Regions from separate parts of the Mus musculus genome. Here all the other regions are reported to be linked to region 5. The links are microRNA targets in miRTarBase. Many come from high-throughput screens and were not tested one by one. Region 5 holds a microRNA gene; each other region holds the end of a gene's coding sequence. Distances are from middle to middle.

Region 1 (5,073 bases), not on the chromosome of region 5:
CATTGAAAGTTGTCCTGTGGGCTGGTGAGATGGCTCATCAGTTAAGAGCACCGATTGCTCTCCCGAAGGTTCTGAGTTCAAATCCCATCAACCACATGGTGGCTCACAACCACCTGTAATAAGATCTGATGCCCTCTTCTGGGGTGTCTGAAGACAGCTACAGTGTACTTACAGATAATAAATAAATAAATCTTAAAAAAAAAAAACAAAGAAAGTTGTCCTGTAAGACATTGTGTTGACATACTCATCTGTCGGCTTGGGAGAATAGTTTTTGGTTTGGGAATTATTGCTTTGTTTGAAGCCAAGTCTCTCTGTGTAGCCCAAGCCAGCCATGAACCCTATCCCTATCCTGCTATCCCTTGCCAACTGCTAGTGTTATATATAGGCTTCCCTTCACCCTTATTGTGTCGTTTGTTTGTTTGTTTGTTTGTTTGTTTGATTGATTGATTGATTGATTGATTGATTGATTTTGGGGGTGGTATGTGAATTTCTATCTTCTGGTTTTTTGGTTGGTTGGTAGGTTTGTTTTGATATTTTGGTGCCCAAACCTGGACCTGTCATTGTCAAACTGTCACTACATCAGTATTCAATGCTAATAGGCCTCTTAAAAAGCACAGTGACTTAGGAGGCAGAGGCAGGTGGATTTCTGAATTTGAGGCTACCACAGAGAAACCCTGTCTCGAAAAAAAAAAAAGGCACAGTGTCGAGGCTCCACTTCACATGGAGAGTCGCTAGCAGAGCACCCTCTCTCCAGAGCAGCCTCTGTAACGCTGGCTCTTTTCACACCAGGTGAGCTGGATACGCTCTTCACCGCTGCTGGCCTGGAGAAGGTGCAGAACCTGGTGGATCGCCGCTTGCAGGTGAATCGAGGGAAACAGCTGACCATGTACCGCGTCTGGATTCAGTGCAAATACAGCAAGCCTCTAGCACTCCGCTCCAGCCAACATGTGCCCATTCCCCACGCCACAGAAAGTTCTTCACATTCGGGGCTTTTGTAAGAAGACATCTGTAGACAGCGGCTTGTTGATGATGGACAGTCTGGGGATTCAAGGAGCTCTAACTTTGAGCCTAAGAACAACTACTTTCCGGTTTTTAGCCAGGTGCAATGACACATGCCTTTAAACCCAGCACTCAGGAGGCAGAGGCAGACAGATCTCTGAGTTTGATGACAGCCAGTGATACACAGAGAAATCCTGTCTCCAAAAGCAAACCAAAAAAGTGTGGTTTTATTTCTAAAGCCCATTAATGCGTATTTTCTGGAGTTCGTTTTATTAATATCATTGGTCGAGGCAATGCCCTGGTGAATGTGGGGAGTTCAAAGGGCAACTTGCAGGAGTCAGTTCTCTCCTACAGGCTGGTCCTAGAATTCAGACTCAGGCTTGACAGCAAACACCTTGAGCTTTTTGACTGCCCTCAAATTTTTTAATGACTAGAGTTTTATATAAAACTCATTCTGTGACCAAAAATGACCTTGAAGTTTAGATCCTCTTGCCATCATATTGCAAGATGATGATGGTCCACACCTTTAATCCTAGCACTCAGAAGCCAGAGACAGGCGATCTCTGAGTTCAGGGCCTGCCTAGTCTACAGAGTGAGTTCCAGGACACCCAGGGCTACACAGACAAAAAAAGAAAAATAAGAAAGGAAAAAGAATGCTAACACATTTGAGAGTTAAGAATTTAAAATCCAAGCCTGGCCAAGTGTGGTGGCTCACAGCAGAAATCCCTGCGGGTAAAAAGCTGAGTTAGGCCGGGCGTGGTAGCGCACGCCTTTGATCCCAGCACTCAGGAGGCAGAGGCAGGCAGATTTCTGAGTTCGAGGCCAGCCTGGTCTACAAAGTGAGTTCCAGGACAGCCAGGGCTATACAGAGAAACCCTGTCTCGAAAAACCAAAAAAAAAAAAAAAAAAAAGGCTGAGTCAGCACAGGGATCCCGTTAAGATCAAGGCTAGCCTGGACTGCACTGTAAAACCATCTCACAGATGGTGAATATGGCTCAGTGGCATGAGCCCTGGAGCCAGCCAGGTACGGGGTGTTAGCTTAATCTAAATTGGCATGGGGGGTCTGAGATAGGAGAACTGCCTTCAATTCCAGGCCAGCCCAAGCTACATGGTGAAAGCCTGCCTGGCTTGTTTGATCCTGGGGCAGGATGGAGGTGATGCTGTGCTCCGCTGCAAGGTGCTGGATTATGAGGGCCTTTTACTGTCTCCAGTATTAGCACTAGAACGAAGGCTCAGCAGGTTTAGGCACTTGCTGCCGAGCGTGACAGCCTGAATTCATGTCCCCAAAACCCACATGGTGGAAGGAGAGAGCCATCATGTGCTGTAGCATGTCTGTGTCCTCAGACATACGTACCAAAATAAAATAATTTTCTATATCTTTTTGGTGGTGTGGCTTAATTTAGATGGTGTTTGATAGGTTCCCTCGCTGTCATCTCTAGGGCATGAGAGCACTCTGGCTGTGCCATCTGTCACCCTATTGACCACCAGGATTTATTGGTTTGCTCTGGTCAGCTAAGCAGGTGTCCCCTTTCACCTTCACCATCAAAGAGCTGGTCTTCTGTCCCCTACTGAAACCTCCACACAAGCTCAGTTATCAACTGTTGTGTAGGAGAGTTCCTTGACACATGATCCCTGCCACACATTTCCCATGGTCTCTGTCCAAAGGGTTTTAGCTGAATCATTCTAATAGCTGCACGTGGCTCTACAATTAAACCTGACGCGGCTGAGTTTCCTGAAAACAGTTGGGTTGGGAAGGTGGCTCCAGCTGCGAAGCTGCCTAGAAAGATTTGCTTAGGTGTATCTAACAGAAATGCTTCAGGATAGCGGGGCATGGTGGTGCACGCCTTTAATTCCAGCACTCGGGAGGCAGAGGCAGGCGGATTTCTGAGTTCGAGGCCAGCCTGGTCTACAAAGTGAGTTCCAGGACAGCCAGGGCTACACAGAGAAACCCTGTCTCAAAAAAAAAAACAAAAAAAAGAAATGCTTCATGAAAAGACTTATCTTCCTACGTCAAGTGCCAGCCATTCAGCTGGAGAGAGAAAGTCAATATTCTTTGAAAACTGAAGGATGGTTTGATGTGGGGCAAGTACAGAGAGCTGTTGGGGTGAAAGGCATGCCAGGTCAGGGTGTAACTCAAGTCCTTGCCAGTGTGGATTCTGTGGTGCAAAGGTGATTCGTCCTGAGCCTGACCTCTCTCGGTCCCTGTATGGGGGAGGGGGGGTGTCTCCTGTCTTCCTTCTTGCTCTCTTTTACTCTTGACTGGAAAAGTGGGACCCTGGAAATTTAACAAGAGGAAAGCTTAGTTCACGAGACATTTAATGTTCCTATAATTTGATTCCTGTCCTTGGAGACATTGGCAACAGTCAGGGCTTCTCTGGAGTAAAGACGAGCACGGGGCAGTTTCTTTCATGCTGTTGACAAAGGCCTGTTTTTTCATTGGTGGCTATAGCTGCTACGTCCAGAGGTCCAGAGCCCGGCTGCATCAGGGCATCACAGGTCTCCGCTGCTTCATTTGATCTTCAGGTTGTGATTTGACAAACTTGGTGATGAGCTTCCCAGTTGAGATGGTGATGTGGTACCCTGCTGCCTCTGCAGTGAGCAGTCAGCCAAGGTTCACAACTCAGAGGTCTGCTGGCTCTAATCAGTGGGCCATGTAGACAATTAAACATGACTGAGTTTAGGGGCAGAAGGCCACATATGGTTACTTGTTCCACAGAGGGGTTTTAAGGCACAGTAGCCAGAATATTCATCCTGAGATGAACCCAGATCCATCATTCCCCAGTTTCCTTTCCATGAGATAGGATTTCACCATTAAAATAGAAAATATCTGGTTACTTGTAGTGCCACACACCTTAATCTCAGTGATCAGAAGGCAGACAGACATCTAGATCCCTGCGAATTTGAGGCTTGCCTGGTCTACATAGAGAGTTCCATTCTAGCCAGGGCTACACAGAAAGACTCAAAAAGTTTAAAAAGATTCATATATATATATATGTTGTGTCCGGCCAGCAGATCACAGGCCTGGGTTCTAGCCTGGAAAGGCATTTTAAAAACCTGGAAGAGAAGAAGGACTAGGCAGGCGAGAAAAAGATGCAGCTAAGACAGTCATTCTGATCAAAGCTCAATTTTACTATTCTGCATGCAGTTATGAAGCAGGGGAAGGGGGCCCGATTCCTGCCAAATAATCTTGGAGTCCAGTAGCAGGGTGACCACATGATGGCTTCGGAACAGGAAAACGGCCCGGCCGGCTCCAGCGGCAAGCTCTACCCCTGAGCAAGCAGGTTTCAGGCTGGGGGAGGGGAGACTACATATATATATATATAGAGAGAGAGAGAGACAGAAAGATAGACAAACAGACACACACCTTCCGGGCCACTTGGGTCAGCGGGTAAAGGCTCTTTTTGTCTTGCTGCCAAGCCTGTCAACCTGCATACCTAAGTCTGGTCACCAGAACTGATGCGGTGGCAGAAGAAACCCATCCTCTGACTGCATCTGTTTTTAGCAAGTTTTGTTTTTTGTATGAGTGCACTGTCGCTGTCTTCAGACACACCAGAAGAGGGCATCGGATCCCATTACAGATGGCTGTGAGCCACCAAGCGGTTGCTGGGAACTGAACTCAGAACCTCTAAAAGAGCAGCCAGTGCTCTTAACCACTGAGCCATCTCCCCAGCCCCAACCTTAGCATGTTTTAGTAGAGTATCACCCAAGAGAATAATAGTTGTCAGATTCCCATTGGCCCAACCCAGAATGCTGGGTTGTTAGTTCAGCTGGAGACTGTTAACCCTAGAAACAACACAGCTTGGAAGAATGGGTTATTAATCTGGGATATGGGAGTGACAGTGGAAGGGAGCTCCCTGAGAAGAGATGCTGCCAAACTTACACCAGAAGTTGATGGTTAGCACATCAGGGCATTGGGTGGGGACAAAGGTTTGTCAAGCTAAGGCTGATCCCAAATCTCTTATCCAAATAAGCAGAGCCCTTGCTGAACAATCTAAATGTGCTAACATTTCTTGGAATATTTGCTATCCTTACACACACACACACAGTCTTGTACAAACTAGGCAAATGCTATAC
Region 2 (5,068 bases), not on the chromosome of region 5:
TCCCAGGCATCTAAAACCCTCTTCTGACCTTCATGGGTTCCTCTATGCAATGCAGGCACACACACACACACACACACACACACACGCAAATAAATTAAAATAAATAAATGAAAAATAGAAATTATAAAAAGTTCCTCTCCAAAGCAGAAACTAAGTAGACACTGAATTTAACTAACCAATGTCATGTCTGTTCTTTTATACCAATTCTTAGAAGGTGTTCATAGAAAATACTATCCAACAGTTTGGTGTATTGTGTTCAAGGTAAAAGTAGGAAGAAAAAGCAGATGTGCTGTGCAAGACTGAAGGCTTTTAGAAAGCACACATCAAAAGTTCCTGTATCTAACAAACTTAAGCTTCTTTCCAGCTCCCACATTCGGCCTGTTGACCCCAGGGTCACCCTCTCCCAAAGCATTTTCTTCACACCTTGACTGGCATAGAAGCTTCAACAGATTAGTAGGAAAACTGGGTGTGGGAAGTAGAGAATGCAGTCAAAGTTGGTGAGATAAATGACTTGTTTTTATATTTTCCTTTATATGAATAATTTGTAATTCACCATTTTTCTAAGCTTAGATAATAATTCCAGAAAACACCTTTGCTTCAGTGCTCATTGATAACAGGCCAGGCAACAGAAGCATTAAGTGTCACAGTATTTCTTTTGTTTTTCAAGGTTCCCAAATTCAGAGAACTTGATAATCGCTTCTTTCAACATGCAAATCACAACCACGTGGAACATGAAGTCTAAAAGCTGATCCTAAACTCTGCATCCTCGGAATTGCCAAGAAGAGTCAAATTTAAAGAAACAAAAACTTGGTATCCAAAGAGATAGGCATGACAATAGATAAATTCCAGCCCCAAATGGCCAGTGTACAAATGTGTTTAGTTTTACTATTATTCCATGCTGTCCAAATGATTTCTCAGTTGACAGGAAAATGCTCAGAAAGCCGTCTATCCCAGGCTCTAAGAATGAAGTTGCAAATGGATAGCTTCATCGAGAATGTTTGATTGTATCATTGATATCTTGCAAAAGAGATGAATTATAGAAATCAATACTTCTTGATCACATCAGACTTTATCCACTTTTTTGGTTAGTTTACATCTTTGTGCATGTGTGTCATACCCCTTCCCCTACCCTCTGCACATCCCTACCCACTGCAGTTCCTCATGATTCCCCACTCCCTCCATCTGGGTCCCTTCCTCCCCTCAGTTAGGTATTCCTTGTTTTATTACATGTATTCTATCCGCAACCCTTTAGCTTCCTAATGTACATACCATGTCTTCAGTTCCAAAGAGTTTAAAGCTGAAGTCAAAGGACATATTAAAGAGTCTATACTAGAAAAATGAGCCGGGTGGTGGTGGTGCACACCTTTAATCCCAGCTCTTGGGAGGCAGAGGCAGGCGGATTTCTGAGTGCGAGGCCAGCCTGGTCTATAAAGTGAGTTCCAGGACAGCCAGGGATATACAGAAAAACCCTGTCTCAAAAATAGCCCCCCCCCCAAAAAAAAGAAAAAGAAAAAGAAATCTATGTAAATAAAAAGCAATATTAATGTTCTAGTTAGCATCTTTTTAAATCTTAAAAACAGTCATAGTAATGTTATACTGTTGTTTGTTTGCATATTCTTATCCTTAATTTCTTTTTATGGTTCTTATTTGTAATAGGAGTTTAAAAGCCATCTGTTATAAAATTTTAAATGATTAAATGTTATATAAAATGGGGTGTTTGTCTTTATCTCTTCTTTATATGATTAAATCCATTTAACAAGCACATACACTCACACCTCATACTAATGTGATTTAAAAATATATTACTTATGTATTCCCTATAAAAATCAAGTGTCCTGTGCATAGTATAACTTTTAAAAGACTGCATTTAGAAAAAATGACTAGCACAGTTATATTGAACCATTTTTATAAAAATTAAGAAGTATTTTTCATATTCAGAGCTTTTGATATTTTTTACATCCCCCAGTCCTGAAATCTTAACAGGAAGCAACTAGGCACCAAAAAAGATATGTGCCCTGCTATGATCATAGGGAAAATTGTGGGCAATATGAGGACACAAAGTTATAAGAGAGTTGATGGTGTCAATGTCTGCCTTATGAACACTCTCCCTTACCTTTCTTCAATACAGGACTTAGAGCTCCAAAATTTTGCTTTTTACACTCAGAGTTAACATTATTTTATTCATGGTAGTACATTGCCATTCTTTAATGGACAGGATATTTTCATTGGGAAGAAATAACAGATCATAATCTTGAGCAAATTTGTCCAGAGTTACTGTAGTGAACCCATTTAATAATTACCAATGGAATAGTTTATGTTTAGTTTTTATCATTATGAAGTTCACAGGAAATAAAAAACATTGACATTTTGAAAGGCACAGCATAAGGTAAGTACCATCACTTTCTGTCTTTAATAGGGTAGCCCAAGGTAATACATAGAAACCAATGATTGTTTTCACACGGGGAAAAATAACCTTTACTATATCAATAAGTGTAATCAAAGGCATAGTACACATCTATTTAATCTATTTTCTCTGAAAGTTGGTAAATTATTTTCATATGAGGATTTATGTTTTCTACTCAAATAAATTCACTTTTCCCGTTCGGTAAATCTGCTCTGAGTTTATCATGATATTCACATGGAAAATGTATTACTCTAGTCTTCTACCTTCCCCATTTTCATTATATTTATTCACTTTATCTACCCCTATTATATTGTTTGTTCCAATCCAGTTCGTTTTTGTAGATCCAACAAAATTGTATGTGCCTGTATTCTGGCTGTGCACAGGTGTGTATATGAGGAACTGAAGACCTAGTTACTTTAACCATATTTATTTGCAGCAGTGGGTTTCTTACTCAAGTTTAAAGCCTAAACTCTGTTTTTTTTTTTTAAACACTTAATTAACCTAAACACTTTCATGTCACCACAAAAACAAAATTCAGTGTGTATACTCTATTGCATCAGTTCACATGATAGAACAAAATTTCAAGATCTATTTATGTGATTTGTTCCAGGAAGTTTTGTCAGTCTTTGTTCTTGACTAAAGCTGAAGGGGTGACCAAGAATCGATAGATGCAATTTCAGACAGGTTTGAGAAACTTACCATTTCACAAATCTGGAGTTCTCTAGCTCTAGTTTCTACAGCCTTCGAGCTGGCTTTTGCACAAGGTGAGAAAAGTCTGCTGTTTGGGGTCAGGGAGATTTCCCAATTGTTCTCCTTTATTCCAAACCAGTTTTATTCAGAATAAACATTAGCCTGTTTTAATTCTCTTCTCTGGGTGTGTGGCCTTTATACAGGTTGCTTTTTTTTTTCTTTACTACTTATGGAAGGTTAACCTCACACTACTCATGTACCCTGAGTGACAGTTCAGGAGGCAGTCAGGGATGCTGGTACATGCTCACAGTCTCAAGTACCAGGAAACAAGGTGGGAAGATGGCAATAAATTCAAGCCAACCTGAGCTGCATAGCAAAGGCCTTTCACAAATGACTAAAATCACAAAAATGTGAGTGACAAAAAAATCTTTTCTGAATAAACCAAACATCTGGCCAGTCCCAGGAAACAATTCTCCTAGATTATTACTATCAACAAAACCAAAAAGAAAACCAACTCAGCAATCTTCAATGGGACAAGGCTATAAATCTCCTACGCTCAGGAACATCTGAATCAATGTTCCTGACTAGTCTTTCTGAAGCTCACAACTGATCAGATTTTTCACTACTATCCCAGGGACTCAATTGAGCTGCATCTCACTGCCATGATAGATCCCAAGGAATCTTGTCATGTGTGTATCATACAATATGGGTGTGCCCATGTACCGCATCACACTTCTGGAGGCTGAACAGGGTCTTATAAAGTCGGTTCCTTCCCTCCACCTTTATCTGAAAACAGGGATTGGACTCAGGTTGTCAGGCTTGTACAACAAATGACTGTATTCACTAAGCCATTCCACCTCTCCCAGTAGTCAAGTCTTTCAGTCTGGAAACCTCTAACAGTTTCTGCTATACCTTTCTGATGTTCGTGATCTTGGATCTTTTGAAAACTACAGGCCACTTGCATTGACTCCAGGTGATTTGGATTTATCTGGTGTTTCCTTACAAATTGGATTCAGGCAATACAACATTAACAGCAATTTAACTTGTATTTTTTTTTTAATTGCAAAGGTGAGGTTCTGCATTACGTTGCTTCCTCCTGCATGGAACAAGCTTTGAGCTTGTTTTGTCATTAATGATAGTTCTTTGATCGCTGATGAATTTGATTTTTTTCCCTCTTCCTTAAAGTTTCTTGTTCAGGGAAGACAGGACAGACAATACAGTCAGTCAAGTGCATCCCATGCAGGTATAAAGACATGAGTTCTAGCCAAAAAGTCAGTTGGTGACATACTTTGTAATCTCAGTGCTGGGTAAGATCAGTAGATCTCCAGATCTCATGGGCTAACCAAACTAACTTACTTGCTGAGCTCAAGGCTAATGAGCAACCATGTCTCAAAAAAAACAAAATAGATGGTACTTGAGGAATGTCACCCAAGCTTAGACGCTGGCCTCCACAAGCATGCTCACACGTGTGCATGTGTATCCACTCCCACACTAGCGCCTACACAAACATGTTTGCATACACACAGGATAAGTAAATCACTTGTTGCTTTGACTTTGTAATTATTATTTTGTGGGCAAGTAATGTGAGATGCTCATGGTCCCTGTGTCAGCACCTTTCTCCTAAGGCTTTCAGTGTGTTTATTTACTAGTTGATATCCCTATAGACTTATAATTTCTTATTCAATTCTTTACAAAAGGTTGTATTAAACTGTTGTGAACATGACATTATTCCAGATTTGGCCAGTGTAAACCATTTTGCGATGCTCTCTAGATCTTTCTCTTATGTGTTTGTTTCTTCTTTGCCTGTGTTAGCTCTGGAATCAGCCATTCCTTTAAGTACTAGTTTCTTCAAATGGTATTTATCCTCCGGGATGTAAAGGTAGTTGTATCATTGTTATTGTGGTGTTTGTTCTCCTTGACCCTCTCTATTGTCAGAAACAAATAAATTAAGTGATGTGAATCTGTATGTATATG
Region 3 (5,073 bases), not on the chromosome of region 5:
CAAGTTCTACAACTTCTTCCCCAGTTGTGACATGAAGAGGGACCTGAGGTTGGCCCTCAGTGTGACGGAGACAGTGGCGTTCAGCCACTGTTGCCTCAACCCCTTTATCTACGCCTTTGCCGGGGAAAAGTTCAGAAGATACCTGGGACACCTGTATAGGAAGTGCCTGGCCGTCCTGTGCGGTCATCCTGTCCACACCGGCTTCTCGCCAGAGTCCCAGAGGAGCAGGCAGGACAGCATTCTGAGCAGTTTCACTCACTACACAAGCGAGGGAGATGGGTCTCTCCTGCTCTGAAGGGGTCTCCCCGACCCTAGCTCCACTAGGAACCCAGAGTTCTTGCATCAGATTTCCCTGCCGCTCCCCCTGCATCTTATGTGCAAGAAATATGGACCAGATGCCTGCAAACCAACCCCGTGGTGTTTTTTTGAAAAATTTATGTTCAATGTGTGAAAAACACACGTATCTCTTACTGCAAATGTTGAACATTGGGGCTTACTGGTGACAAAAATTCTAACCAGATTAGTGCAATTACAAAGGGGTTTGGTGAGTCCTGGTTGCATGATCATGTGATAAAGGACAACTAAGTCCTCAGACTGAGTGGAAACCAAGGCTTGGCTCCAATGTCCCCTCTCTGACCTTCAGATCCTTCATAGTGACAGATCATCCAGGTTCTATCATCAGAGAAGGACCACATCTCTCTGATTTCAAAATTGGTATTCCTAGGGAACACCTCCGTTGGCCGAGTGTGTCGGGTGTCCATTCCTTGACTAGGTGGTGTTATTGAAATAGAAGGGATACCTAAGATGCTGTTGGAATCTCAAGGTTAGCGGTTGAGAGAGACACATCTCTCAGAAGCTGGGGGGTGGGAGCTACTCTGACAGCAAGAACTGCTGACTCGCCTTACCATGGAGCTCATTCAGGCTCCCCTTCAGTAACTAGCAGTATCTGTTGCTAGCTTCTTTAATCTTCTGTTGAGAATGTCCTGAACTCTCCAAGGGTTAGAATTTGGGTTACTGCTCACAGCATCAAATTCAATCCCAAGGCCCTGTCCTCCAAGACCAGGAAGATAGGATGCAGTTCTAACAAGAGACTCCACGCTGACTCCTCATTCCACAGGACTCCGTCCACCCAGTTGGCCATGTCCCTTTTTCTTGTCTTGACCCACATCCCTCCACTCTTCTCAGCCCAGGGGAAGAAATAGAAAGAGCCATGCCCCAGAGTGAAGGGATCGATTCATATCCCAACTCTGTTGCTTGCACATTGGGGAGACTGGAGCCAACAGAGCTTCAGTCCCTTCAATATAGAAAGGGGACTGTGGTGCCTTCATCCATTCTAGCATAGTACCTCAGCAAGGACTTTAGCATTCCCTGGATCAGGAACTGTTACCCTGCCTCTGAGAAATGGAGCTGGTGGAGTGGGAGGAACCTGCAGGCTTTGCTGCAGGACACAGCCAGACAAGAGGAGACCTATTCCTACAGCATCCCCCAACATGTGCCTAGATCTACAAAGCCATTCCCATGTCCCCGCTGTCAGGGCAAGACCCAGGCCACGAGAGCAGCTTGCTTTCTCCCCTGACCCTGCAAGCATCACGTAGGATGTAGCCACAAGAATGTCTTCATGCATTCACTGACTCCGGTCTCATTTGCAGGCTTACATTGAAAGTTCCAGTTCTGCAACTTGCTTTTTAAAAAACACTGGATTTCAGGGGCTGGAGAGATGGCTCAGTGGTTAAGAGCACAGTCTGCTCCTACAGAGGTCCCAAGTTCAATTCCCATGTCATGTCTGAAGACAAGGACAGTGTAGTCAAAAAAAACACTGGAATTCAAATAGCTCCCTGTTCCTGTGTTGGTTGTGATAACCATTTCAGAAGTCTCTCCCAGCCTGTTGCTCACGGCGGCATGTCTGATATCTCCTTGGCAGTCTGTATGTTTGTGTCGAGGATGACAGACAGACTGAGTCATATCCCCCACAGGCATATCCAACCCTTTGTTATTGCAACACCATGCTGTCATATTCAAAGGTCACAAATGAGAACCTCAAAATTGAGTTACCAAAGTGGGAGCCTGGAGAGATGGCTCAGTGGTTAATAGCACTGGCTGCTCTTCCAGAGGTCTGGGGTTGGATTCCCAGCAAGCATAGTAGCTTACAATGGTCTATAATATAACTCTAGTTCCAGGTGACCCAACACCCTCTTCTAATTTGTGAGGGTAGCAGACATGTGCATTGTGAACATTCAGGCAAACACCCATACATACAAAATAAGTAAAAAAGAAAAAGAAAGGAAGGAATGGAGAGAGAGAAAGAGGGGGAGAGAGAGAGGGAGAGGGAGAGGGAGAGGGAGAGGGAGGGAGGGAGAGGGAGGGAGGGAGGGAGGGAGGGAGGGAGGGAGGGAGGGAAAGGAAAGAAAGAAAGAAAGAAAGGAAGGAAGGAAGGAAGGAAGGAAGGAAGGAAGAAAGAAAGAAAGAGGGAGAGAGAGAAAGAGAGAAAGAGAGAAAGAGAAAGAGAGAAAGAGAGAAAGAGAAAGAGAGAAAGAGAGAAAGAAGAAAGAAAGACAGAAAATTGGTTTTTCAAGATAGGTTCTCTCTATGTAGCCTCGGCTGTCCTGAAACTCTCTGTGTAGACCAGGCTGGCCTAGAGCTCAAAGAAATCCACCTGCCTCTGCCTCCTGAGTACTGGGATCGAAGGTCTGTGGCACCATGGCAGGCTTAGTCAATAAATGTTTTATTTTCAAAAGTATCCTATAATGTTTTAAGTAAGTTTATGCTTTGGTGTTGGTCTGTATTTCCCGCTGTCTCGGGTCACATGGTTAAGCGTGCCTAGAGTGTGTCTATCCCACTTGTAATTCTGTCAATAAACATTGGTTTCCTTCCAGCTCTTGGCAAGTACGAGTCTCAGGGAACTTTAATCTGTGCACGTTTCCTCTCCCTGCTCACTTATTTCCATCAGATTAATTCTTTGCCATGGGGGTAGCTGGGTCAAAGGGCACAGGAATGTTTCAGCTCTGTTCTCCAGTACATACAATTTTATCAAAAAGCAAAGCCTGGCCAGGCATGCTAACCTACATCCTTAACGACAGCATTCACGAGGCAGAGGGAGGTATCTCTGCCAGCCCAAGACCAGCCTGGTAACATTGTAAGACTGAAAAAAAAACCTAGGAAAACAAAAAACCAAAAAAACCCTAAAGCTCTCTAGGGAAGGCCAGCCGCTCCTCAGCACCTAAAGCATCGTTGTCTTGACCAACCTGGAAGTAATGGGGCTGACAAGGCTGTCACAGGCAGCCATCTTGGCAGGGCTGCTTTGACTGCCAAGCTCAGTAAGATCCAGTGCAGCTTGCTTGAAAATTTTTAATATTGATTGATCCGTTGTTTGTACATGTATGTGTGTGTATGCACATGTATGTATGTTTATGCATGTGTGTATGTGTGTGTGTGTTTATGCATGTGTGTACATGTGTGTATATATGCATGTGTATATATGTGTGCATGTGTATGTGTGCACATGAGTGTATGCATGTGCATGCACATGAACACACATGAAGAAACTCAGAGGACAAATTGCAGAAGTCAGGGCTCCCTTTCCACCACATAGGTCCCAGGATCAAACTCCGGTTGAGGGGCTTGGTGGCAATTGTCTTTACCTGATGAACCATCTCTCCAGGCCCGCTTTAGTTTTTGCATACACATGACCTTCATTTGATAATGACAATTTGTTACAAGTCTTTACGAAGCACATATCCTAGCGGGCTCCAGAGATGTTTCCACAGCAGTGAGACCACACCTCTGTTCTCAGAGGTTTTGATTTATTTTTTGAGATAGAGTCTCACTTTGTAGACCAGGCTGCCCTGGAACTCGGAAATCTGCCTGCCTCTTCCCCTGGAGTGTTGGGATTAAAGGTGTGCGCCACCACCCTGGGCTTGATATCTGTGGACAGAAAAGGCCTGGCTGTGTTTAACTTGCTTGCTGTAAGACAGAGCAGAGGTAATAAGATCTGACCCAAGACTTCAGGGATATGAGCTTCTCCAGGAGAAGCAGGGGCTGTTTGCTAGGAGGCAGGGATGTGGAATTCGTGTGAGAGAGCACGAGGTTCCTTCAGTGTCAGTCCCTCATTCCAACTGATGAGCCTGAGAGTTGTCATCAAAGGTTAATCTGTTCCTGGACTCCCATGTAGAGAAGAAAGACTTCTGGCCTGAGAAGCAAACATAGGGAAGCAAACATTTTCTTTTCTACAAACAAACTCATTGCACTGAGCAAGTGAGAGAGGCCAGTCAATAAAAGGGCTTGCCACCGAGTCTGTCAACCTGAGTCCCATCCTCAGGACTCCCGTGGGGCAAGGAGAGAAACACCTGCACTTAGCGCCACACAGGTACCATGGTACACGCACACGCACATGCAATAAAAATAAAATAATAAATCCGTATCCTTCATTTTCTCATTTGCTTTGCTGAACAAGACAGGATGGGACAAACACAAAGAGTTTCGTTGGAAATCCCCACATGGCAAGGACACATTTGAAGCAACTGGCCTTTGACATATAACTGGGTCAGGCCTACTGCTGCCTCTGAGCTTGGAGCTCCAAATAGCAAGGAGTGAATGGCGGTGTGCTCTGGAGGCAGGAGACATGGAGGCAGCGCACACCAGAGGCCTTCAGCAAGTTCTGCACCTTCTCAGGAGCTCAAAGTTCTTATCAGAGAGAAGGGAAAACAGAGCTTGTTCTAGTGTCTCAAGGCATTAATAAGACCCTAGACTCACATCTAACTACAAAGCTCGAGCAAGCAGCCCTGCTTTTCTTGGCCCTCCCTTTCTGCGGGAGGACACACCCAACAGCTAGTTTTTGCTTCTGTTTTTCTTAGTTCCAGGGTCACAGATTACTGAGTGGTCAGAAGTTAACTCAGTCTATCGCAGGCTTTAGCTAGGCTTCCTTTTGTGAAGGTGTGGTTTGGGCTCTGTGTGTGTGTTTGTGTGTGTGTGTGTGTGTGTGTGTGTGTGTGTGTGTGTGTGTGTGTGTGCAAATGTCAGTGTGTATGTATGTGAGTGTGTGTGTGCATATGTGTGTGGGTATGTATGTATATGAGA
Region 4 (5,073 bases), 33 Mb from region 5:
TGTTAGGAGTGCATGGTGGCTTTGCGTATTTAAGGGCGCAACACTTCAAACATAACGAAGCTTAGTGGAGCGGGATTTGCCGCTCCTTCGCCACCAGAGAGACCTGGCTGGGGTTCTGTAAGATCGGTTGCGGTTCTTTGAGGTTCGGAGTGGGTGAGATGAACCACTGACCTCTTGGGATCGCGTCTGGAGAGTAGCTAGTATTCTTCCAGCTTCGGAAGCAAGAGGGAGAGCAAGCCTAGCAGAGGTACCCATTCCATTCCCAGTTTGCTCGGTAGCTGGTGATTGGAAGACACTCTGCAACATTACTCACTGAAGGCCTGAGACGCAGCCCCACCTCCCAGTTTCTTTACTAACTTGGGTCTGACTTTTGTCAAAAGGCATCATGGCTGCCCTCCGGCCTCTGGTGAAGCCCAAGATCGTCAAAAAGAGGACCAAGAAGTTCATCAGGCACCAGTCAGACCGATATGTGAAAATTAAGGTATGTGGTTCTGGGGTGGGGGTTAAGACCTGAGCACACATTTCTCGTTATCGCTTGTCTCTGCATTTTAAAAAGTTCATTTTAAAGATGACACTTTGTTTTATATTTATGCGTTTGAAGGGCAGGGAGAATCACTTTAAGGAGTTGATTCTCTCCTTCCTGTCTTGTGGGTCCAGGTCAGATTTAGTTTGTCTGACAGCAGGCACTTTTAAGTCATCTCTGCACCCTGACCCTGTATTTTAAAGATCTTTGGGGTTTTGTCTGCACACCAGGCACATGCATGCATGGAATTGAACCTCTGGAAGAGCAGCCAGTGCTCTCAACTGCTAAGACCTCTCTCTGGGCCTGCAGATCACCTGTTGGCTGGATGGGCATGCACACCCAGCAGTTCAGCAGTTAACTGATCCCTCCTCCCTACTTAATTGCAATGGAAGATGATGTTGAAATTCCAGTGCAAGTGCTAGGGATGGAGCCCAGGGCCCTGTGCATGCCAGGCAGACACTGCTAACTGAGCTACACCTCGGCCTTTGGTGTGTGTTTTATGACATGACCCCCTTGAATTCTGTCCCCTTCCTGCACACACATACAAGAGCTGCCAGTTTGCACAGAGACTAACTTGCCTGTGTGTCTTCAGCGAAACTGGCGGAAACCCAGAGGCATTGACAACAGGGTGCGGAGAAGGTTCAAGGGCCAGATCCTGATGCCCAACATCGGTTATGGGAGCAACAAGAAAACCAAGCACATGCTGCCCAGCGGCTTCCGCAAGTTCCTGGTCCACAATGTCAAGGAGCTGGAGGTGCTGCTGATGTGCAACAAGTGAGTTGGGCCCCTGGCTGGGAGTGTGCCTGCCTCCTGTGAGACTGAGGCCACTGCAGTGGGCATGCTTATGAGGAAAGAGGACGTGTTCCCTTGGTTGAAGCCTGAGACTGGAGAAGAAGGTCTTTTTACAGTGGGTGTTCAGTGTCCTTTATGGTCCTGTGTGGAACACTGCTATAGTGTCATGAGACTGCAGGGGCCTGTGTCTAACCTGGGACCTAAGCTGTGCTTGGCTCTGCTCTGACGGGTGGATTTGCAGAGCAGCTCAGGTCTTTTGGGGCTGAGGTAGAGAAAAAGTCTCCAGGCACAGCTGTAGAGAGAAGGTTGTGGGGTATTCTGGGTACTTTGAGCAAGTTACAACCCTTGGTGACCTCTGAGATGCAAAACCAAGGCCTCTCAGGAAATACTCTTGACATTGGATATGAGGGTGTGATGGGAATAGTTTATTTTTCCCAAGTAAACTAGGACTGCAGAGAGTGTATGTGTTCGGGGTTATAAGGATTTGTTTTCTGAGGTGGTTGTCATGCAGATGGAGGAGTCCTATGGGGAGATTATGTTGTGCATTTAACCAGGCCTTGAAGTGCTACAAGTTCATTTGGAAGGATGGATGCAGGAGAGAGAATGTGTGTTGTACAGCAGCAGTCCATGAGGCAGTGTTGATGGTGCAGTGTTATGGGGGCTGCATTTCTAATGGGTACATCTGCCCCAGGAGAGCTGCTTGGCCTTGTCAGACCCTGCAGGTGCACCGCTCACTGAGTTCTGTCTCTGGGCATTTTCCTCTGTATAGCTGGGGAGCAGGGCAAGTTGGAGGGTAGTTACAGAAAAACCATTGGTTCCTGAGTGGTAAAGAGTCCTGGGGTGGGATATGGCAGCATGTGACTTGTGAATGGTGAGTGTGCTAGACAGCTATAAATGCATGTGGCCCGGGATGGGTGCTTCAGGTTAGAACGTGATGCACTCTGTCCCCAAATCTGTCAGGTGGTGTCTGTCTGTATTAGGTATTTGCCATTTGTATGCTTTCCATAGCTCTGCCATCCTGCTTCTCTAGGGGTTTTTCCTCAGCTCCCGGTCTATGGCTTCACGGTCATCTCCATGCTGGGAATGTGTTCATTAGGACAGATTGTCAACACTTTGAGGGAACACGGGCAGTGTTTGTTGTTCACGCTGCTTGAACTGTGTACCTTACAGTGGTTGCACTGGAAGCCTTTGGCTCCAGTGGAAGAATTCTGGGTTACTCAGTGTGAGGAAGAATTAAGCCATTTCCCTGGTGACCTTTCCTGGTTTGCTTCTCTTTCAGATCTTACTGTGCTGAGATTGCTCACAATGTGTCCTCTAAGAACCGAAAAGCCATTGTAGAAAGAGCAGCACAGCTGGCCATCAGAGTCACCAATCCCAACGCCAGGCTACGCAGCGAAGAAAATGAGTAGATGGCTTGTGTGCATGTTTTATGTTTAAATAAAATCACAAAACCTGCCGTCGTATTTTCTATGTTTTTGGTAACTGGAGATTGTTCTTTGCTGCTTGTTCTGGGGGAGACAGCAGGGTTCAGAATCCCATGCTAGTCTTGGTTGGCTGCAGGTGGAAGAGGGGAAAGGCCTTGACCCTCTACAGTGTAGGTACACTTGAGTCTGGGGACCAGACAAACCTCTGCTCTCAACCCTGTCCCAACTCTAGCATGGGCTCTAGCTTAAGGCACTTTTTTTTTTTTTTTTTTTTTTTGTTTTTCGAGACAGGGTTTCTCTGTATAGTCTTGCCTGTCCTGGAACTCACTTTGTAGACCAGGCTGGCCTCGAACTCAGAAATCTGCCTGTCTCTGCCTCCCAAGTGTTGGGATTAAAGGCGTGCGCCACCACTGCCCGGCTTAAGGCACTTTTTTGATGAAGCCTTTAGTTTCATGGAACTGGCCTGCTTGGCCTCAATCAGTCAGGATTGACAATCCTGTCTTTGGAGGATATTAGAACTTCATGAGACTGATAAATACTTCTGCCACGTGGGACACTACAAGGGCAGTGCCATCTGTATCTAGGCCAATCTCTGGCTCGCTGTTCTTTTGAAACAGTAATGGAGTTCAGAAGGGTTGACTGTCACGGGTGACACTTAAATGACTGGAGAGAAAGACATCCCAGCCTTTTTATTACTAAGCTTTTGTTCTCATTGTAGAAATGAGGTTTTATCATCTTGCTGTAGTGTTGGAGAGTGCTCTACAACTGAGCTATTTTAAACTTTGGTGTTTTGCCTGTATATATGTCTGCCCGAAGGCATAGGGTCCTTTAGGACAGGTTAGAAAGTTGTTGCTACCAGGAGGGCGTGGTACTGAGCTATCCTGCCCTGTTGCTTTTAGGTAGATCTTAAATTTGTTCACTACGACCTGAGTGTGTGGTCCAGCCTCAGCCTCCTAAGGAATTAGGATAACAGGTCTATGCCATCGGCCTTGTTATTTCCAGGACTGAATCAATATGGATAAGAATCCTGTGAGGAGAGCTTTGTATATGTTATTAACTCAGATAACTGGCCTCAGCTGGCTTTAATTCCAGGCAGGTGGATTTGAGTCTGGGCCATATGTGGCTACAAAGAGAAACAATGTCTTAAAAATCAAAACCTGTCATTTATACTTAAATTTTCAGTACTAACTACAAAGTCGGGAAGAGCACAAGCCGACTGTTACACTCCTGGGTGATGGGATTAGGGATGTTTGAGACAGTGGACCTACACCTGGCCAATGAGCCACACTATCTTCCCTGTAAACAGTTCTCACTCTGCTAACTAATGAGGCACTAAGTATAAATTGGTTCTCTTGTATGGGCTCTACATACCCTACCCATGGCTAGGTTCAGGGTGCTAACTGACATTTGGACTTCAGAGTAAGTGAAGTAGGAAGTCAACCCCCTGCTTGCCTTCTGGTCTTGGGCATAGGCCAATTCTGGCTCCTAAGTGAGTGGAGGGGTGCAGTGTAAAGGTGGTGGGACATGACGCTCGTGAATGAACGTCCTGAGTTGGTGGGCCCGGCTTTGGCACTGGGGCTGTGAGCAGGGGGCCCTAGCAAAGGCACTGAGGCTGACAGGGAAGGACAGAAGAGGCCAAGGCCTATTGGGATAAGAAGGGAGACTTGTGTTGGGGGCAGCTAGCTGAGTTCCATAGAGTCCGTGCTGGGGCCGGAGGCTGTGTCCTTTTGGATGCTCTCGAAGAGGGTGGTGAGTTCTGGGTTGGATCGGATCTGGGCGGAAAAGTCAGCTACAGTGGGGCTCTTGCGCACCTCAGGGTTGGTCAGCAGGGCGGCCACTGCCCGCATTGCTGAGCGCTTCAGCTCCTCCTGCTTCTCCAGCTCCTGCTTCACAGAACCAGCCTTGACCTGCAGAGGGAGACAGTGTCCTTACTGAGTCTCTGTTACCCATTCTAAACAGGTTTCTTTTTTTTTGTTGTTTTTTTTGTTTTTCGAGACAGGGTTTCTCTTTTAGCTCTGGCTGTCCTGGAACTCACTCTGTAGACCAAGCTGGCCTCGAACTCAGAAATCCGCCTGCCTCTGCCTCCCGAGTGCTGGGATTAAAGGCGTGCGCCACCACGCCCGCCTTAAACATAGGTTTCAAATAAAGGCCTAATTTCAATCTGATGCATAATCAGATTTCATTTTTTTTCTACTACTGTGCTGCTATTTGAAGATCACAACTTTGGGGCTGGGTATGTGGCTCAGTTGGTAGAGTATTTCACCTGGCACGCACAAAGTCCTGAGTTAGATATCCACATCTGAGTAGGGAAGAGGGGACCTGATCCAGCATCCA
Region 5 (5,073 bases):
ACTTTTTTAAGGTTATAAGGAATTTGATGTGTAAACCAGATTGGCCTCAAACAGAGATCCACTTATCTCTGGCCCCCAAGAGCTGTGCTCAAAGGCCTGCCCAGCGCACTGCCTTGCCTTGCCTTGCCTTTCCTTTCTTTCCTCTTTTCTTTTCCTTTTCCTTTTCCTTTCCTTTTCTCATCTTTTCTTTTCTTTCCCTTCCTTCCTCCCTTTCCCCCTCCCTCCCTTCCCTTTCCCCCCATTTTCTCTTCTTTCTCATCCTCTTCCTCCTCCTTCTAAGATCTTATTATGTACCCTGGTTAGCCTGGAACTCTCTATGTAGATCAGATTGGTCTCACACTCAAAAAGATCCGTCTGCCTCTGCCTCCCAAGAGCTGGGATTAAAGGTGTGCACCACCCTGCCCAGTTCATCATGTTATTATTATTATTATTATTATTATTATTATTATTATTATTATTATTTTTGAGACAGGGTCTCACATTGACCCTAGATCTTGCCATCTTGGCTAGGGTGGCTCAGCGGTGAGCTTCCAGGATCTGCTTACCTCAGCCCATGAAGTTGGGGCTTCAGATGCGTGCAGCCGTACTCAACTTAACATGAGTGCTGGGGATTTGAACTCAGATCCTGTTGCTTTCACACAGGCTGCTCTTACCCACAGAACTGTCTTCCTGGTCTACACTGCACATTTTTTCTAGGGTCACCAGAGTGGACATCCATCCAGAGCCCACCTTAGTGTGTTTATTTGTTTTGAGACAAAGTCTCCTTTAGCCTGGAATAGTTTAAACTCACTATGTAATCAAAGAAGACCTAGAAACTATGATTTTCCTGCTTCTACATGGTAAGTCCTGAGTGTCAAGCCTCTACCACCACGTCTGACTTACCCAAGCTCTCTGCCAACAGGGCTACATGCCAAGGCCCATTTATTTGGCTTGGTTTTAGTTTGTATTTTGAGACAGGGTCACACTTGCACTGCTGATACCCTGGCTACCATCTCTCTCAGAGATGGACGTCACAATTAGCTCTCTCCCCCGCCTCCCTCCCCTCTCCTCCGTTGCTGGGAACAGAGTAATATAGAACTGAGGGTTGTATCTAGAACAGACAGGGAAGGGGCTGGGATGAGGGAGGGTGAGCATCCATCAAGCTAAAGGGTACAACTTGAGCCTTATCCAGCATGTGTTATATATAGTTCAGCCTGGCCTTGAACTCATAATTTTTCTTAGATTCCTAATTAATCAGATGACAGGCTCACACCATCACACCTTCCTTCTGGTTGCTGGTTTGTTATCCAAGGCTGGAGTGTAAGGGGAGGTGGTACCAGCTGGACAAGAAAGTAAGGAACACTGTTGATGTTGATGGCTCAGTACCAGCTAACAAGACTCCGTTGCCTCAGCTAAAATGATTTGTCCTGAAGCTGTTGGGGGCATGGGCTGGGGAGAGGTGGCAGTTTAGTTTGAGGGCATTTATTTGTTTATGGTTTTATTGAGACAGGGTTTCTTTGTGTAATAGAGCCCTGGCTGTCCTGGACTCACTTTGTAGACCAGGCTGGCCTTAAATTCACAGAGATCAGCCTGCCTCTGCCTCCTGAGTGCTGGGATTAAAGGCATGGTAACCACACCCAGTAGCTCAGGGATTATTCTTCCATTAGTAACTCCTTAAGAACTGTTCATCCAGCATTCTTGGTTTGTGGTGGTTGGAAGGTCAAGCTGCGTGCTTCAGGGGCCCTGCTAGAACTCCTCCTGGTCTCTCAAGAGTGCCTCCTTTCACTGTGGGGTATTTTAGCCTTCGGCTATGTCCAGCTTGTTTTCTTACCCTGTTCTGGGGACTAAACCCTGTCCATTTAGCTAAATCTCCAGCTCCATGGACAACCTTTTTACGTTATGAAATGGCACTGCTGTCCATGAAATCAAAATACCAGCTAAGGAGATAGGGAGTCAGTTAGTCATCTAAGGACCTGCATATGAAGCCTGGCTCAATGCAGTGCCATCCTATTGCTGGAGAGGCAGAAATTTGGAATCCTGGGACTCACTGGTCAGCCAGCCCATTGAAGCAGTGACCTATAGGTTCAGTAAAAGATGCTGTCTCAGCCGGGCGGTGGTGGCACACGCCTTTAATCCCAGTACATGGGAGGCAGAGGCAGGCGGATTTCTGAGTTAAAGACCGGCCTGGTCTACAGAGTGAGTTCCAGGACAGCCAGGACTATACAGAGAAACCCTGTCTCAAAAAACCAGTTCCAAGTGATCCAACACCCTCTTCTGGAAATGTAGGTACCAAGCAACCAAGCACTCTCTCTCTCTCTCTCTCTCTCTCTATATATATATATATATATGTATATGTATATATATATATATATATATTCAAAACACTCATATACATAAAATGAAAATAAACCAATCTAAGAATAAAAGTGTGCTGGGCATGTTGGCCCACACCTTTAGTCCTATCAGGAGGTAGAGGTAGGAAGATCTCTGAGTTCCCAGTCACCCTGGTCTACAAAGTGAGTTGTGTGACAGCCAAAGTTACACAGAGAAACCCTGACTCCAAAAAAAAAAAAAAAGCAACAAAGCAAGCAAACAAAAGCGTGTGTGAGAAAAGGTGAAGCCGTGTTTTCCCACCTACAAGGGCAGTGTCTTGACACCAGACTAAAAGTCCATTCAGTTGGTCTGTCCCACTGATCAATTCACACAAAGCACTCAGATCTTGTGTGAAGACACCAGAATCACGCCCGCCTTTCAGTCTCACTTATTCTCCCCTGAGTTTCCTCTCCTTGGCCCTCCACTCGCTGTCCGAGGTTCTAGCTGCATGGTGGTCTCTTAAAAACTGACAGGGTGGGCCTCTGGCCCCTCAGTGCTCCCTGTCCCTCCCCAGTCAGTGCCTTTGCAGGAGGATAGTGATTAATGGCCAGCAAAAAGGGAGGTCAAAGCTGAAGGTCCGAGATGTCATCAGTGGGGCCAGGTTAGGATGCTCTTGTGACAGTCACAGCTACTTTGACCTCCTCTCTTCAGTCTCACCCCAGGTTCCCATACCTGGGCAGAGGTAGAAGTGGATAGTGCTCTCTTTCCAGACTCTGGGGTGTCACAGTGTCTCATCATAGAGGTTTTGTTTGTTTGTTTAGTGTGGTGTGTGGGGGTGGGGGGCGCGCGTAAGCGCGAGTGCGCTGTGATATAGGCTGACTTAGAACTCTTGATTCTCCTGCCCCCCACCCCACCTTCTAAGTGCTGGGATCACAGGTGTGCACCTACACTAAGCTTACTATGGCTTTCTTAATGCAGGAAACCTAGTAAAAGTTTAATTAAGAGTAGAAGGCTCACATTATCATATAGGGGCCAACCTAAAGGTTAGTACTGAGGTCTCCAAGGCTGCAAGCCTTGGGAACAAAGGTAGCCAGTAGGGGGTAGTGGCCGGAAGCCACCACTAGAATCCTACCCACTTCCTCTCCATCCAGTGTCTCCAGAGGTGAAAGACAAGCCAGGTCTCTGAGGAGTGGCCAATGCCTGTGTACAAATCCTGACCTCAAGCCTCTTTTGAAAAATAACCATAGCCAGACACATACCTTTTAGGCTTGCTACTTGGGCTAAAAGAAGTTTTAAAGGAGCCGCAAGGAATTTCCCAGTGAGTAGCGGCTTGCCTTGGTTTGGGTTGCGGGCTTTCCGAATTGAGGCTTCTTGCAGCAGCAGAGTGGCGGCTTTATTCTTTAACGAGTAAGAAAAGTAGGAGTGTGGAGTAAGAGACAGAACAGAGCTAAATGGGTGTTTACCCTCCACCCGGGAACCCAGACAAGGCCTCTAGCAGGGGGTCCAGGGCCCTAAAATCCAGGGCTGGGCAGCAGCTTCACTTTCAATCGTCCACCTGTATCTCCTCATCTGATAAGTTGGGCTCAGAATCGGGCCCTGAAGGGCCAGGGTCAGGGCTTGAAGTGCTGTCTGGCAGTGCTGGGTAACACAGGACTCCAGGGGACAACCCGCATAGGGAGGCCACGTCCGCGCGCATCTCCTCCACATCCCGCTTGAGCTTGGCGCGACGGTTCTGGAACCAAGTGACCACTTGCGCATTAGCCAGGCCCAGTCGCGCAGCAAGTCCGTCGCGCTCTGACGGTGCCAAGTACTTCTGGAAGACGAATCGCCGCTCCAGCTCCAGCACCTGCTGTGCAGTGAACGCTGTCCGAGACTTGCGGCGTCTCCGGACACCAGCGCCAGGCCCCGGCGGCGCCTCCGGGGCGGCTCTGCCTGCCAGGATGAGACGGAAATGTCAGTCTCGGCTTTGGAGGAGGCTGAGGTCTGGATGGAAAAACTTAGGGTCGCGGGGCTTAAGCAGGTAGAGGGAGCGGGGTGGGCCAGCATCACGATCCCTATACACCGGGTCAGAACCCGGATTCGAAGTGCAGCAGGCCTGTGGGAATGCTGACGACAGAGAGATGAGATTACTCCAGCGGGTAGAGGGTGAGTGGGACTGACCAGAGATCTGGTACGAGAGTCAAGACCGTTTGGAGAAGGTCTCTGACGCCGTTTGGAGCTCCAGGCTGTGCGTGGTAGTAAGTTAGAGGCCAAATTGAGGTCGGGTGACCCATCTGGCCAAATAAAGTCCTTAACACCAGCTCTCTTTCCGGGAGCCCAAAGGGAAGGAAGGCAGGCGGAAGGCGGTTCCTGTGCCCAATAGTGCTGCAAAGGATCTTCTACAGGGCTCAAGAAGTGACTGGGGCTGGGGCTGGGGCTGGGGCTGGGGCTGGGGCTGGGGCTGGGGCTGGGGCTGGGGCTGGGGCTGGGGCTGGGGCTGGGGCTGGGGCTAGGTAGCTGGGGCTAGGTAGCTGGGAGGAATTTTCTGCCTTGTCCTAGCCCTGCCTCAGTCTTTTCTTGCCAGCAGCTCAAGCGTTTTTTCTCTTCCACAGCCTTTCTTGGTCATGATTACCCCGCATACAGCGAACGTACCAGCAGCCGAGCGGGTCCCTGGATTCGCTCCAGCCTGGCGGTACCCCTCAGCCCCTGCCACCCCCTGGAGCAATTGCAGTCTCAGAACTAACTCAGGAGACCTGCCGAGCCCTGTCAAATGCAACTCCTGACACTTGGGCAGAAGGCAGG
Region 6 (5,073 bases), not on the chromosome of region 5:
AGCACCCCAACACTGAAGGCAGGGTTCCATGGCAGACACTCTTGCCTCTTAGCACTCATAAACATTTCGGTTCATCACGGAACTTGGGAGCCTCTGCGCAGCTTCCAAGTCCTTCCTGCACAGGTCAAGGCCACTTTACAGATATTCCAGCCATTGAGGGTTCTTCTGAGTCGATGGTTTCCTGTCCTTACCAGTTCCTAACTGCCCCCCCACCCACACACACACACACATTGAGTTGGAAATTTTCTCTTTGAAACTGGAGGTCTTACCATTGTGGTAAAATATTAAAACAAAAAGACCTAGCCATCACAAATCAACTAACTTAAAAGTTCCCTTTATGTGATTTATGTATGGGAAGCCCTGCCAAGTTGCGGTGTGCTGTAAACAATAAAGACAGGTTCGGCATGAGAAATCACAATGTCCTTTATTTGCAGAATTTCACTTAACTAATTCTCACGGCTTCCAATTTCTCACCATCATTACAAAAAAAAAAAAAAAAGCGTCCTTTGTATGAGCATGGAAAATACTAAACAGCGAATAAGAAGTAAGTATTGCACAGTTAAATGGCCAAAATAAGACTGGTCTTTTGTTTGTTTGTTTTGGTTTTGTTTAGTATAGTATAGAGTTTACTCAGGGCATGGGGAGGGAAGTTGAGAGGGTAGTAGAGAGAGAAGGAGTAGAGAAGTAGAGGCCAGCCATGAGCACGTGGGGGGGGGGGGCAAGAGGATGGAGCAAGAGTAAAACTGTGGCTGTAAAGGTCACACTAGCTGAGGTGAGCACGCCACACTACTGATCTCCGATATAAATGACCTCAAACCACTGAAAGCAAGCCTCTCTTCAGTGCTCAGCCATATTGCATGACACACTGAAAAATGAGTTATAACCAACACCAGCACTTTCATTAGTAAAATATGAGCAGTGTAAGTTTTCTTTTCCCGTTATCCTCGTGAGGAATCAGAAGCCTGTGCAGAGCGAAGGAGACTATGGATAAGCACATGACCTGCTCCTGGCCACATGACTCCTACACAACAGTCTGTTTAGGGCCCTGGCTCTAAGAGCCTCACCTAACATGATCAGCTAGCACCTTAAAATGGACTGTGAAGTTTAGCTAACTAAAGAGCAGGTGCAATCAGAGACGAAGTTCAAAGGGCCTGACCACTGGGCTGACCAAGTAGATGCTCAGTGGAACTCGGGCAGTGACCGCTATTAAAGAGGCCTGTGGTTTAACTCAATGCTAGGTTAACGTGCCAACTACATAGGACAATGGGAACCGATGCCGCCCAAGTGAGTGCTAGAGCGATTCGATCTGCTTAGCCCAAAGGAGGTAACAGCTCTAGGGCAGGGTCCAGGATAAGGCGACAAAGCACCAGGGATAAAACTGGCAAGGATGCTCTCTCTCCTTGTGAGGATCTGTGAGGGCTGAGCATGCACAGTTCTGGCACTGCTAACCCTTGGCACAGTAGTGTGGACTGACTTGGGCACTTTGCCCACAAAAGCAGCTTTATCGGACGCGACGCGACGCCACGTTTAAAGATGACTAAGGACTCTGGCTACTTAGAGAGGACTAAGGAGATGGGACAGGAGGAATGTCTTGAGGTAGCTGAGAACAGGTCCTTCCTGGGTGCTCCAGGCAGATCCACAATCAATAGGCAAGGTTATAAGGGACCATTCTCGCTCAAGATACTCAGAACTAGAGGACCCTGGCATAGCCAAGCCTGGGCTGGGAGTGGCCAGGGTTGGGGAGAGGTTGAGGACTGCCACTAAGGGAACGGAGGTATTTATATGTGCCTCAACTCTGCCCACGATCCTAGACACTGGCTTCCTGCTTCAGAAGAATCAATTTTGTGGGTTTGGGGGGGGGGGGCGTAGAAGAAACAATTTTTAGAAAATACCTTTGAAAACCAGTGTTGTTGGCTTGATTCAGACAAAGCGCTTAAACTCACCAGAGCATAGACTGGCTGGCCTTGGAGGAGAAAGACTGCTGGCTAGTTACAGGGAGAGTCTACACGTCATGTTCACTGACACCAAAAAACAAAAGACACATGAGCGGTGGAGGCCTAACCAGCAAGACACCTGCCCGTCATGTTTAGAGACAAGGTCAAGTGTGCAGGAGCTTTAGAGATGTGTATGGTGGGCGCTGGCCTTTACAGCCACCATCCTACAGGACCTGCCGTCACCTGTTCCAGTGGGGCTGTAGAGCAAGGAAGGCCAGAGCAACCTCTATCCCCTACCCCCATGCCCCACATGTGCACTCCAAGGAGGTGGGCAATGCCTGGAGAGGCAGAGGCACTTCCGCTGAGGCCAACACTCTCATCTGTTCCTGGGAAGCTGCAGAAGGCTCTGGAGTCTGCGATGGCCACCTTCCATACTGCTCAGCCACGGCCTTGCTTGGTGACAAGGACATCAAGTGCCCATCACTGTCCCTGATGTCATGACTTGCATTCTCAAAGTGAACCATTTTCCTAGCAAAGCCAGGTTTGTCTTCCGGTAGCCAGCCAGCCAGCCAGCCTGTCCACAGGCAGCCTTCTTTGTTCTGAATTATTACATAGTTTTAAAGACTTAGCCCAGTGCTTCTCATAGAATCTGAGGCAAATAACTCTCAGATGTTAAGCAGGGATGAAAATAGTGGCAATTTTACCGACCAGTTACAAAGCCAAATAAATGTATTATCAGTCATAAAAATCTACATTAGCCTTCAATTCGGATTCATCAGTTACAATCAAAGGTTGATTTTATTGTTTATACTTTTTACAGATAAAATTTACAAATATTATAAACTTTCAAAATTAATTGATTCTCTAAACTGTACACACTATGACTCAAACATTTCACATTCTAGGATATTGGTAACTTGGTTCTCCTTGGAGAAAGCACACAAAAACAGTGTTTCCTGACCACAGAACCACTGGTTCAACTGTCTACAGCTTCTAAAGTTTTCTTCTATTGGAGAGGGGATGACAGACCTGGAAAGCAGAGAGAAGCAGAAATAAAGATGGCTGAGACAGATTCCTGGACAATGATACTTTGTGCCACTGAATAGGATCGTCCTTTATCAGTGTTCTAAGACATGTCTACCAGGCAGACTTGTTCTGTCCAATAAGAAGTTCCTGCAAGCTTCCAAATGCAGGGAAGGGACCCACTAGCTGTATATCCCATCTTTAGTCAAGGCTCTTGGTGGCCACTCATAGATTTTACACAGATATTTCTAGACCTAAACCCATAAAAAAGACGTATTTTAAGCTGAACCTGCAAAACCCATTTGGGGGCATTTTTGAGAAGTAGGACTATTCTGACAGAAGTCAAATTAGGAACTCTACAGGGAGCGACATGAGCAGGAGATCTAAAGGGAGCAGAGCACTGTGCCAGACAGGTAACGGGGACTCAGCAATGACAGAAGGCACGGAGCTACTCACAAAAAGTCAAACTTCTCAGATTGCCGTGACCTGGCCCTTCTCTCTGGACATATGCTCCAGCGAGTCCCTGAGCGCCATCTGATTTACCTAAGGAAGAAGTACAAAGTCCCCGGTGTCCCTGACAGTAGGGCCTGCAGAAGCCCTGACTTATAACAAGAGCTGGGAATTCCACATAGACAGGGCTAATAAAACGTTGTGACTGAGGAGACCCAAAGGGTTCCAGTGCCCTGGCGGCTGTGGTCAGGGCTTCTGTGCTCCCAAAGACGACACACCTGTGCACAACACAGCTGGCATAGGGCACACTGTCACATCACTTCAGACAAGCTCACTTCCAGAGGATGTGTCACCATCTGTGCTGGCCACTGTGGTCAGGGTTAAGTGACATGTCTGCACAGGACTCATTTTAATTCAGCTCCTTTGCTCTGTTTGCTGAGATGTTCTTGATACACACCTCACGCTGCCTCAACCTTGTGATCCTCCTGTTTCAGTCAGCCGATGTGCTCAGAGGACAGGTGTGGGCCACCACTCCCGAATTTCTTAATTAATAAATTATTTGGCTTTTTTTGAGACAGGGTTTCTCTGTAGCCCTGGCTGTCCTGGAACTCACTTTGTAGACCAGGCTGTCCTCGAACTCAGAAATCTGCCTGCTTCTGCCTCCCAAGTACTGGGATTAAAGGTGTGTGCCACCACTGCCCAGCTACCACTCCTGAATTAATCCAGTGTAGTCTCTCCACTCAAAGAGCTGTAACATAACACTTTAAAGCTGGTGTGTTTCCCTACATTTCAGAAATACAGAATTTTTACATCGGAAGAATACAATGGAGTTCCAAAAGAGGGCTCTTCACGCCTCCCAAAGTGGTCAGATCTGGCATTAGGAGTCTTGACCTTTAAACAAGGCAGGGAGACAGAGGTGCAGACATACCAAAAACTCTATCTGTTGTTCTTAGGGAGCTGACAGGCACATTCCCCAAATGTGAGTGGTCTGTACTCGGGAACTCAGTTGACTTGTGGAAGAGCATTCACACTAAGATGGCCACTGGACAGAAGAGGTAAGTGCAACCAGGACGAGCTGATGCCTCCCAACTGCACCTCAGTCGATTCCAGGCAGAACTGAGCTCTGTGGCGAAACTGAGGAAAGATACATGCACAACAGCACGGCTAATGTAAACTCAGGGCCGACACGGTGCTCCGAGGGCTTCGGCCTCACTACCGGATGTTGTCCAGGTAATGCACTTCTGGATAGAGGCGGTTGACAAGAAGGGCCAGGAAGCTTTTCCCATTCTGAAGGCAGTGGCCAGGATGCCTTATAAACTGAAGAGCATGCAGTATCTGGTCCTGGTACTCCACATACTGCTTACTGAGCGTCATGGACTCCAGAGCTGTCAGCACCTAGAAGACACACATGACAGCTGACTTACTCTGAGAATGCGTGCCACCTGACAGCCACACGGCAGCACTTGCCATCACTATGCCGTTCCTTAGGAGCGGTCTTGGAGGCAGGCTTTGGGTGACACAACCAGGAGGTGGTGGAAGAGGCTGCACGCACCCTCTCTGACCTCCGGAGCCTTCTCTCTCTCTCTTTTTTTTTATATGTAAGTACACTGTAGCTGTCTCCAGACACTCCAGAAGAGGGCGTCAGATCTCATTACAGATGGTTGTA

Evidence for each region. The annotated mature microRNA mmu-miR-3470a reads UCACUUUGUAGACCAGGCUGG and lies in region 5 at 1,527-1,547, shown strand. An mRNA with a match to its seed (bases 2 to 7 or 8) in the 3' UTR can be bound and repressed. Matches are read on the target gene's strand: a 7mer-m8 pairs with bases 2 to 8, a 7mer-A1 pairs with bases 2 to 7 and ends in A, and an 8mer does both.
Region 1: the mRNA of Mettl2 is a reported target of mmu-miR-3470a. Seed matches in the 3' UTR shown: 8mer at 1,835-1,842.
Region 2: the mRNA of Rhag is a reported target of mmu-miR-3470a. Seed matches in the 3' UTR shown: 7mer-A1 at 1,430-1,436.
Region 3: the mRNA of Cx3cr1 is a reported target of mmu-miR-3470a. Seed matches in the 3' UTR shown: 7mer-m8 at 2,053-2,059.
Region 4: miRTarBase lists Cand2 as a target of mmu-miR-3470a. Seed matches in the 3' UTR shown: 8mer at 3,064-3,071.
Region 6: miRTarBase lists Epg5 as a target of mmu-miR-3470a. Seed matches in the 3' UTR shown: 8mer at 4,017-4,024 and 7mer-m8 at 1,480-1,486.

What each region holds. Positions count from the first base shown.
Region 1 is chr11:105,138,772-105,143,844 of GRCm38, forward strand. It overlaps Mettl2 (methyltransferase like 2), which reads left to right. Exons shown (of 9, transcript NM_172567.3): 9 at 790-2,375. The coding sequence ends at 998. Among named protein-coding and RNA genes, the nearest start is that of Mettl2, 15 kb to the left of the region's middle.
Region 2 is chr17:40,839,041-40,844,108 of GRCm38, forward strand. Rhag (Rhesus blood group-associated A glycoprotein) reads left to right here. Exons shown (of 10, transcript NM_011269.2): 10 at 668-1,714. The coding sequence ends at 742. Among named protein-coding and RNA genes, the nearest start is that of Rhag, 30 kb to the left of the region's middle.
Region 3 is chr9:120,046,492-120,051,564 of GRCm38, reverse strand. It overlaps Cx3cr1 (chemokine (C-X3-C motif) receptor 1), which reads left to right. Exons shown (of 2, transcript NM_009987.4): 2 at 1-2,882. The coding sequence ends at 295. Among named protein-coding and RNA genes, the nearest start is that of Gm33858, 14 kb to the left of the region's middle.
Region 4 is chr6:115,803,210-115,808,282 of GRCm38, reverse strand. It overlaps Cand2 (cullin-associated and neddylation-dissociated 2 (putative)), which reads right to left. Exons shown (of 15, transcript NM_025958.2): 15 at 2,728-4,646. The coding sequence ends at 4,419. Rpl32 (ribosomal protein L32) reads left to right here. Exons shown (of 4, transcript NM_172086.2): 2 at 381-481; 3 at 1,116-1,297; 4 at 2,595-2,769. The coding sequence starts at 386. The coding sequence ends at 2,724. Snora7a (small nucleolar RNA, H/ACA box 7A) reads left to right here and starts at 180; the gene lies at 180-308.
Region 5 is chr6:83,086,834-83,091,906 of GRCm38, reverse strand. Mir3470a (microRNA 3470a) reads left to right here and starts at 1,520; the gene lies at 1,520-1,596. Lbx2 (ladybird homeobox 2) reads right to left here. Exons shown (of 2, transcript NM_010692.4): 2 at 3,664-4,224. The coding sequence ends at 3,836.
Region 6 is chr18:78,032,654-78,037,726 of GRCm38, reverse strand. It overlaps Epg5 (ectopic P-granules autophagy protein 5 homolog (C. elegans)), which reads right to left. Exons shown (of 44, transcript NM_001195633.2): 44 at 406-4,802. The coding sequence ends at 4,620. Among named protein-coding and RNA genes, the nearest start is that of Siglec15, 22 kb to the left of the region's middle.